2 linked regions of the Danio rerio genome follow. The protein of the gene in region 2 interacts with the protein of the main gene of each other region in a biochemical or structural test. Links are inferred from orthologs where the notes say so. Each region holds a gene or a part of one and is shown on either strand. Other genes may lie near its edges.

Region 1 (4,005 bases), on a different chromosome or scaffold from region 2:
AAAGAAATATTTCAGGCATGGAGTCATCATTCCAACAGAGTGCAAAAGTAACTCCAATATTGATCTAGGATTTTAAAAAGTTTTGATTATGAGATTGTTTTCAGCACTGTCACTCGTGTCCACTGCCCGTGTAAACGCACGGCACGATCTGCGCGAACGGGTTGGCAGTTGTTCAAATCTACATTTGTTGACAGACAGTTTGGGCTTCTTATCGGAATTATAGGTCCGAAAATATTTAATTGGATGAACTTTTTTTTGTCTTATGGCTTACCCAAGAATATAAAAATACATATAAATACATTTAGATCATTTACTTTAATCATTACTATAGACTTTTAACCAGCACAACAAATTTTTTTTCTGAAGACCATCACCTACTGCTGCTTTAAGAAATCAATGGCTAAATAAACAAATGAATCAAGTGGTAAAATATCATGAAATGTATATGAAGAAACTGATGATCACAGTGAAACTCAACTAAACTTGACTTGCCAGCTTGACATAGCAACATTTGATCGATCAAAATCATGAGTGCCCATATGATACGGAAAGAAATGTGAACTTCATCTGTAGAGCTGCTTAAAGTGTCGCCAACATTTTATTGGTTTATGCAAGAAAAAACTATTTATTAATTTACAAAAAATCTTATTTTGACATCTTGCCAAAACAGAAATTCTGTTTAATGTTCAGCTAATTCAATAAAGTTTCATTCAAGAAACTTTAACAAATGTATTACTATTGTATTGTATAACTTACATTTCAAAGTAATAATAATAAAAACTACGTATTAAAACAAAAGAATAAAATAAATAATAAAAATGAATAACAATTTTTTAACCATTTAATAATAAATCAACCGTCACTTCAAACCAGTTTGGTTCCGAACATTACTTAAAGTATGTTTTATTTTATGCTTGAGCAGTAGAAAACAAGCACAGGTATGCAAAAGACATGATGCTGAGGAAATAGTCTTAATTTTCATTTTTGGTTAAACTATCCAATAGAACTATAAAAAACAGATTTATTCTAGCATAGCTAAAAACATGCTTAATGTTTCCCATATCAATAAACTCATGTGGATCTGGCAAAAAAGCATTAGGAATTCTGCAGGACATTTTCAAGTGATATGAAATTATTACAATTCTATCTCTCACAATTTCTGATTTGAAAGCTAGGCAATCCCTGTGAAATGCATTTAACTTTGTCTCTTTAACCAAACACAGCAACATGACTAACACAAAAGGATGATTTCTGACTAGTTGTGTTTCTATAGAAAAACCTAAGCACTAATTGAGAACGCCATAAGGTTTACAACACAGATCCATGACCAGTATCAGCCTCAGACCTGTGCATCTAATCAAACGATCAATATGACTCCCGGCCTTCCCCTTCTTACCTCCTTCTCGCTCTCTCCCTCTGTGTGGATGGATGGCTTTTGCTCTGCCATGGCCAGTGTTGTCCATGTGTTTATTGTCTGGACTGTCTGATCTCCGCAGCATCTTGCATGGTGGAGTGGCATCATTACTGTCGCGCATCTTCTCATGTCTGTGATCCGGGTGACTCTTGGATGAGTACTTAAGAGTCTGTCAAAACATGACATTTCTGCATTGAACTATGCTGCACAATTACTCTCTCTCAAATGCATTAAGGAGCTGGTTTATAGTGGACATAGCTGATATTACATAGCTGACAAGCCTGTTTACCCTGAGAGGACTATGTTTGATGCTACTCTAAGGTGTTTTTGACTAGCAAACAAACATCTGACATGTTTTAAATTAATAAAACATTTCATAGGACTATATTATGTATATTAATGTTGTCATACCATATCTTTACTTTTTTCAGTTAACTAACGTAACATGGAAAGTCTATAAGGACAATTATGCCATTCTTAACTATATCTTAATCATTTACACGATAACTGCATTCGTTTTATTTGGATATGGTTGCACTAACTAGCTATCAAGACGGCTGTTTATAAACAACCTCTTGGCCTTAAATTATATTTACGACATAAAAGTTTTTCTAAAACATCTTATTATGCCCCATAATATCATGATAATACATTTTATATTACCAATTTTGATGAAACTCGCAGTAAACGCAGGCCTGGTGTAGCCGCTAGCAAGCTAACGTTAGCCTGTTAAAGTCGCTAGCGCCCTGGGCGCATTTAAAATGTGATAAATTCGACGGGCAAGCGATTTACGACAGTGTAAATTCATGTTCACATCCTAAAATATACGTGTTTGTCGTTTTAAGCTGATCTCCGGAAAAATACGACACTTTTTTGCTCTGTTTTACGCACAGAGGCCTGTACTGCTTCAAAAGCCTGGACTAGATTTACCCCATTTTAATCTTATTTGTTTCAGATCTACCTGATAGGGCTGAGAATCCCTTCGGTCGGTGCACCTATGAAATAAAACAAAAAAGAGAGACAAAATTAAAGTCAAAACCCATTTTGACTAACATTGTTAGAAATTGCAACAGCTGAATCGGCTTCCTTAAGTTTCTACTTATTTTGGTTTGGCTAAAAATGGCGGATTGTCAAAGCGGAGAAGGAAAATCGTAGTATAAAACAGCTCTTTACCCATCGCCGAGTCTCGGTTGTTTCCTTGCATACATTACCATCAATGCCGTGTTAGTGTGTGTGAAGTAGATGTGAAAGATGGGCGACTTATTTTGCTTTAGGAGTGGGCTATCGACGACACGATCGCGTATATTATTTCAATAGTTCTGGCTATTGGAGTCGCTCTTCGCCTCTGCTAGTCAGTAGAGCGCCCTCGGTCCATCTCCCACTCACACACACACCAAAACTCTGCCCCTATCTACAGAACAGCGAAGCTCAGCCTTCCTCACACACCTCAATCCGGGTTACTTCGGGGCTCGCTTCGGATACACTCGGCTACTGTCGGGATATTTCGGCCGCAAATACAGTTCTGAAGTAAGTAGCGCATGTGAACACGAAGCATCGGTGAGGATGTTCACTGGGATAAAACAAGTCTAAACCAACTGTGCTTGAATTACTCACAAAGAAGTTTAATTCTCATTCAATTTTAGGTTTGGAAAAGTGTTGACTTTCAGTGCGAGCAATTTTAACCCAATACTGACATCTACTGGACGTGTTGAGTCAGTACTGGAAGATGGATGCAGTGCAGAAAGGCCCTGATGCAGTATGACTCACTAAAACAAGTGAGTCTGGGGAATTCTGGGAAAAGATGCATGATGTGAGCGCACTTTTTAAATGAGACAGCAACAGGAACAATGTCAAAAATATCACAAGTGGAACCGAGTCCTTCCAGGTAATATGAAGTGAGAAAAAACAAGATTGTTATTTGAAACCATTCATTGCAAAATATAGTGTTTTAAATCTAATATAAATTAAGTTGGCTTTAAAACTAATGTTCTAAACGTAAAATATCTGCCAGTAGCAATTAGAGCTGTAGGTTCTCTTGGGTAATGTATATGTGCACATTTAGTCTGGATTTTTGTCTGTTTTTCCATGTAAATTTTGTGCCAGTTCTGCCAAATGAGATGAAGAGTGTGGGTGGATATTTACAGGTCATACAGATTTTCAGTTGCATTCAAACTTGAGTTATTGCAGATTTAAAACCCTGTCAGCTCTTCAAAAAATTGTTTATTCCAAGCTAAAAAATAAGTATTTTAAGTTTGCATATTGTTTTATTAAAACTTGTACTGATAATAGACTTCAATTAATAAACTAAAGAAAGTGCTATTCACCCTTTCAGTATTGTATTTTATAAGTTCACTTGTAGTTGCAGTCCAAACAAAAACACATTGTACTTTAAAAAAATCTTGCTGCCATTTGTTTTGGATGAATCAAATAGCTTTTCTAGTCATCTCAACTTACATCAGTCAAACTGATTTAAAATATTAAGATAAACTTTGTATAACAAAAAAAATAAACAAAACAACAATAAAAAAACATTTTGATGGGACAGTGGCGCAGTGGATCGCCTCACAGTAAAAAGGTCGCTAGTTTGAATC
Region 2 (4,335 bases):
TTATGCACTGCAGATGCTACTTCTAGTATAAGACACTCTACAGTCTTGCAGTAATCTCATACAGCATATCACTTACAGAAGAGTGTGAGTGTGTGTTTCTTACCCATGAGTGCTGCCAGGAGACACAGTGATGACATCTCAAGGTCAATGTTGTCCTGAAGTTCCCTGCTACTGCTGTGGCTGAGGCGTGGGTCAGAGTGAGCGTGTGTTTGAGGGCTGTGAGTGTGTGTTTGGGTTACTTGAGGATCAGCCGAGCTCTCCTTCAGCACCTCCACAGAAATCCGATCTCCATGCTGAAGCGCCACGGGCCGGTTCTGGTCTTCGGGAGGTGGTGGAGGCAGCTCTCTGGGCGGGAACCCATGACGAATGCACAGCTGTCCGGGCGACAAGTTGAAGACCTGGATGATTGAGTTCTGGAGATCACTGTAGGTAGTGTGCGGCTGCAGAGTAAGCATGGCCTGCCTCCCGTCGCTGGTGGTTACACGGATCTTCTTCTCTCCGCTGGTTGGGGGTACTTTGGTGGGAGTGGGAGGAGCGGAGGATGATGAAGAGGAAGGAGATGATGGGCGAGGGTCCTGATGGCGCACGCGATCTGTGCTGCGGCGCTGGGAGAGGGCAGCCTGCTCGCTGATGCTGTGCTGCAACACCCTCTCGGTTTTGCTCATGACCAGCTCCTCCTTATGCAGAGTTTTTCCCTTCTGTCCCGTCAGGATGATTTTAGTCGGAGGGTGAGCAGAAGATTCACCTCCGTCTACTTTATTTTGCACGTGAGCACCTTCGATGGCAACTGGGTTGTATTCATCTTGGCTCTTCTTTGCGGTGTGATGCAAGATGGTGTTTACTACCTTCTGGACTAGGATTTCGCTGCCAAATTCACCAGGGAAGTGCTTTGTGACGAGACGCATGGTCACATCGTATACATTACTATTGAGAGTCGGATCAATTTCGTACTGGAACCAATAAACAGTTTCTCGGACTACACGGCCAGCCCACTCCAGAGTGATCGGGAAGGCTTCGGGAAGATTGTCGTACTCCTTTCCTTCCCAGAAGTGTTTGAACCCACATCCGCACTTGCCACCTTGAGAGGGAGTGTTAGTGCGGTCCCCGTCCAAATACACCACAGAGCCGTCACCCCGAACTCTGCGTACTGAGGTCCCATGACACCAGGTGCAGGTTGTGAGTGAGCTGAGTTTATAATCAGGCACGAGCACATCTTTTTCTGGGTTGTAGGAACAAACTAAACTATTTAATGGGAAACTGTAGTTCTTGTCTGCACGGAGCGTCCCGTGAGTTGATTTGGCCAAGTTGTAGAGTTTCCCTCCAGGTATGAGCCATTCGGCTGGTACGTGGAGCTCTGAAAGAGCGTTGCAGACCAGGCAGCGGTGGAGGCGGCCTTCCTGGATGGATTTCTTGGCCGCTTCTGTCACCTCCTCCGGCTGTACGCCGATCACTCCAGTGCGTCGGTATATGTACTGGTGGACGTCGGCTACTAGAGCGGGATGGATGCTGTGCTTGTCCATGAAGACATCCTCCATGGCGCTTACGAGGCGCAGGAGGTACTTATCCTGGAGGCTCCGGTCGCCCCCAATCACACAGCTCCCGCTGGGATCCAAACTCACATACTTGCGGATGAGCTCCTGAGGAACACCCCACGCTTTGGGAAGCAGTGCAGCAGGCAAACGGGGCAAAGCCAAGCCCTTGATGCCCACAAGAGGCAGATAGTGATTTCTGCCAGAGCTGCTCCAGGCGATGCAGATGGGCTTGTTCAGAGTGCCGTCTTTCCCTCGGCATTGCTCCTCTGGAATAAGGCCCGGTAGGAAAGTGGCGGAGTAATCCCCGGAGCTTCGCATACCGCTCAGCGAGTCCAAAAGGATTACAGGTCTGTGAAGTACATTGGCCAGGCCAAATATGTGAATGTTACGCAGGCCCAGTGGAACGCCTTCTGGAGGGACAAACAACGGGTCACACTCATTGATGATGTCTTCCCATTCTGCAGCATCTATGAAGTCCTGGAAAAGAGCTTTGTAGCGGTCGAGGTTCTGCTTGAAATGGAGTTTAAGGTTTTCCCGAAGAGCGTGCCAGAAAAGCTCGCGTCCAACTAACGCCCTGGACACGGCGTGGACCAGGCAGTGTCCATCTCCGTCCACATGCACAGGAATAAGACACTCTCTATTACCGTTCGCTTTCTTGATCTCCTCCAAGGTGTCATGCAAGTAGATCAAGCTCCCTGACCGGTCCCGTCCATACCCAACAGTGGACACATGCTCTTGCTCGATGAGAAATGCACGGTCCCCAAGCAGCGAGCAGTCAAAGATGTCTCCCTGGTTCATTTCCTTCAAGAGTTTGGCAGTGCCTGTCTGTTTGTCCATGCCATAGCGGGTGAGGATGGGTGACAGTAGCTTGCAGTGGTAGTTGGACAGTCCCATCACTTTCACCAGCTCTGAGCCCTTCTTGGGAGGGCCTGGCACACCCAGCAAAGCATTTCTCAGCAAATTATGAAGCACTACATCAGGGTTAGTCACTTCCTCCACATTGGCGAGATTCTTCTGCTCGTGTCTCTGTCCGCACTCGGTGCACTCGATGCTCATGGAGGTGTGTGCGGGGAAGATGAGCTTCGCCTGGCACTGCGGGTCCGGGCACATCCCGCATAAAATGCGCCTATCCTTCTGTTTTGAGCCCGGAATCAACGACATAGTCCAATCTGAGATTTCTTATGACGCCGCGGTTTACAAAAGCATCGCTGTTTAATCGGCGACGGACGATAGAAAATTATGTCACCTCACGCAGTTTCTGTTTTCCAGTAACAAACACAACACGGAAGCGGTTCTGTAACAGCGTGACCCTATGGGTCGCGCAATGCATGTTGGGAATTGAAGTTCTAAATCGTCTCAGGTCATCTACCTTCTAACGGCATTATTTTAAAAAGCCACTGATTAAAATGTATTTTGATATTATTCAAAATTACTGCCCTATTCTGTAGTTACGAAATTGAGTTTCTCCACTTGGACGATTATACAACGAGGGCTCTTTTGAAAAAGTGGCTTTAATAAAACTACAATATCCACAATACAAAGAAGGCCAAAGGTTGTGTTGTGTTGTGTTGTGTTTATGGAGTTTAACAGACTTCATATGGGCGTGAGAATAAAATGCAGACATTTTTAGGATATCAACGGAATAATATTAGATCAATGCAATAAACTAGATTAATATTACAATGGTGTGTTCTCTTTATTTGTAACAGACAAAGTACGTTCAGGGGGTGAAGAAGACTTAAAAAATGAATAGGCTATAGAAAATAATCTAGACTTTTATAACGTAATCTAATATTTTTAAATTAAATTCTTTCTTGTTGTGTTTTTTACTGTAATTATAAGAAAGTGGTCATTTAAAATTGTCATTTCCATCACAAAATGTTTTAACCATGAAACATAATTTTGCATGCAGAGAATGTTCGGGGCACATCCGTTTATTTATAAACAAACAACCAAACCAACAAACAAACAAATAAACAGTTCAATTAAATGTATTATTTAATCACAAATGTGTCATAAAAAAATATATGATACAATATTTTCTGTGTGGAGAAATTGTTGAACATTGATAGGCATAAGTGCTTTAAATATAGAGCTAGATGACTAGAGAAATTTATTTTAAGCAAACAACAAAAAAACAAACAAACCTTTGAGTTGATCTACAAAAAGTCACAGTGGAACAATTCATCCAGCTTCTGCCTACCCGAGCGTTATATATATCGGCAGCTGGAAAAGCGGAAACCGGAAGAGAGGAAGTGAAACACAGGAAAATAGCAAGCGAGGAATAACGGCGCTGCTTATGTTTTTCCAGAGAGACACCGAACCATGGATCAGTTAAATCAGATCATGAGGCGATTAGCACTTATTATAAATACACAGTTTATTTAAGAAAACCCCGATTAACGTTACTTCCATCGCATGAACAAATCCAAATATCAGATGACACGTTCATTCATTTTATCTAATGAAATCAGGACAGCAGATTTTCTGCTGGCATTATTAGTTTTCATCAGGTAACACCTATGTTTTAGTGAATAAACGCAAAATCACATTTCACTAACTTTATTATGGTGTCTGATGTCGGCGTGATCTGATCAAATGGCTGTTTTGTGGAGTGGAGGAACAGATGCATTCAGAGTCCTGTAAACAGAGGATTGAACTGAGTTTCAGCTCTTGGCGGAAATCAAAGAGGTGTGTAACTAAACATCTCATTGTTTTTTGTGATGTTTGTTTCTAAAAATGTTTCTAACAAACCAAGCCTTAAATGTTACTAGGTAATGATAATCGGAAGTGCCCAAACTTT

The links.
Region 1: the proteins of vcpip1 (region 2) and waca form a complex in vitro, tested with the Homo sapiens proteins (2 studies listed by BioGRID). The link is inferred for Danio rerio from reciprocal best matches to the Homo sapiens genes VCPIP1 and WAC.

Annotation. Positions count from the first base shown.
Region 1 is NC_133187.1:25,085,665-25,089,669, reverse strand, and holds the start of waca (WW domain-containing adapter protein with coiled-coil), read right to left. Parts: upstream 2,818-4,005; 5' UTR 2,629-2,817; coding exon 2,588-2,628; intron 2,410-2,587; coding exon 2,376-2,409; intron 1,584-2,375; coding exon 1,397-1,583; intron 1-1,396.
Region 2 is NC_133177.1:45,057,723-45,062,057, reverse strand, and holds the start of vcpip1 (deubiquitinating protein VCPIP1), read right to left. Parts: upstream 2,831-4,335; 5' UTR 2,694-2,830; coding exon 104-2,693; intron 1-103. UniProt on the Homo sapiens protein: Deubiquitinating enzyme involved in DNA repair and reassembly of the Golgi apparatus and the endoplasmic reticulum following mitosis. Necessary for VCP-mediated reassembly of Golgi stacks after mitosis.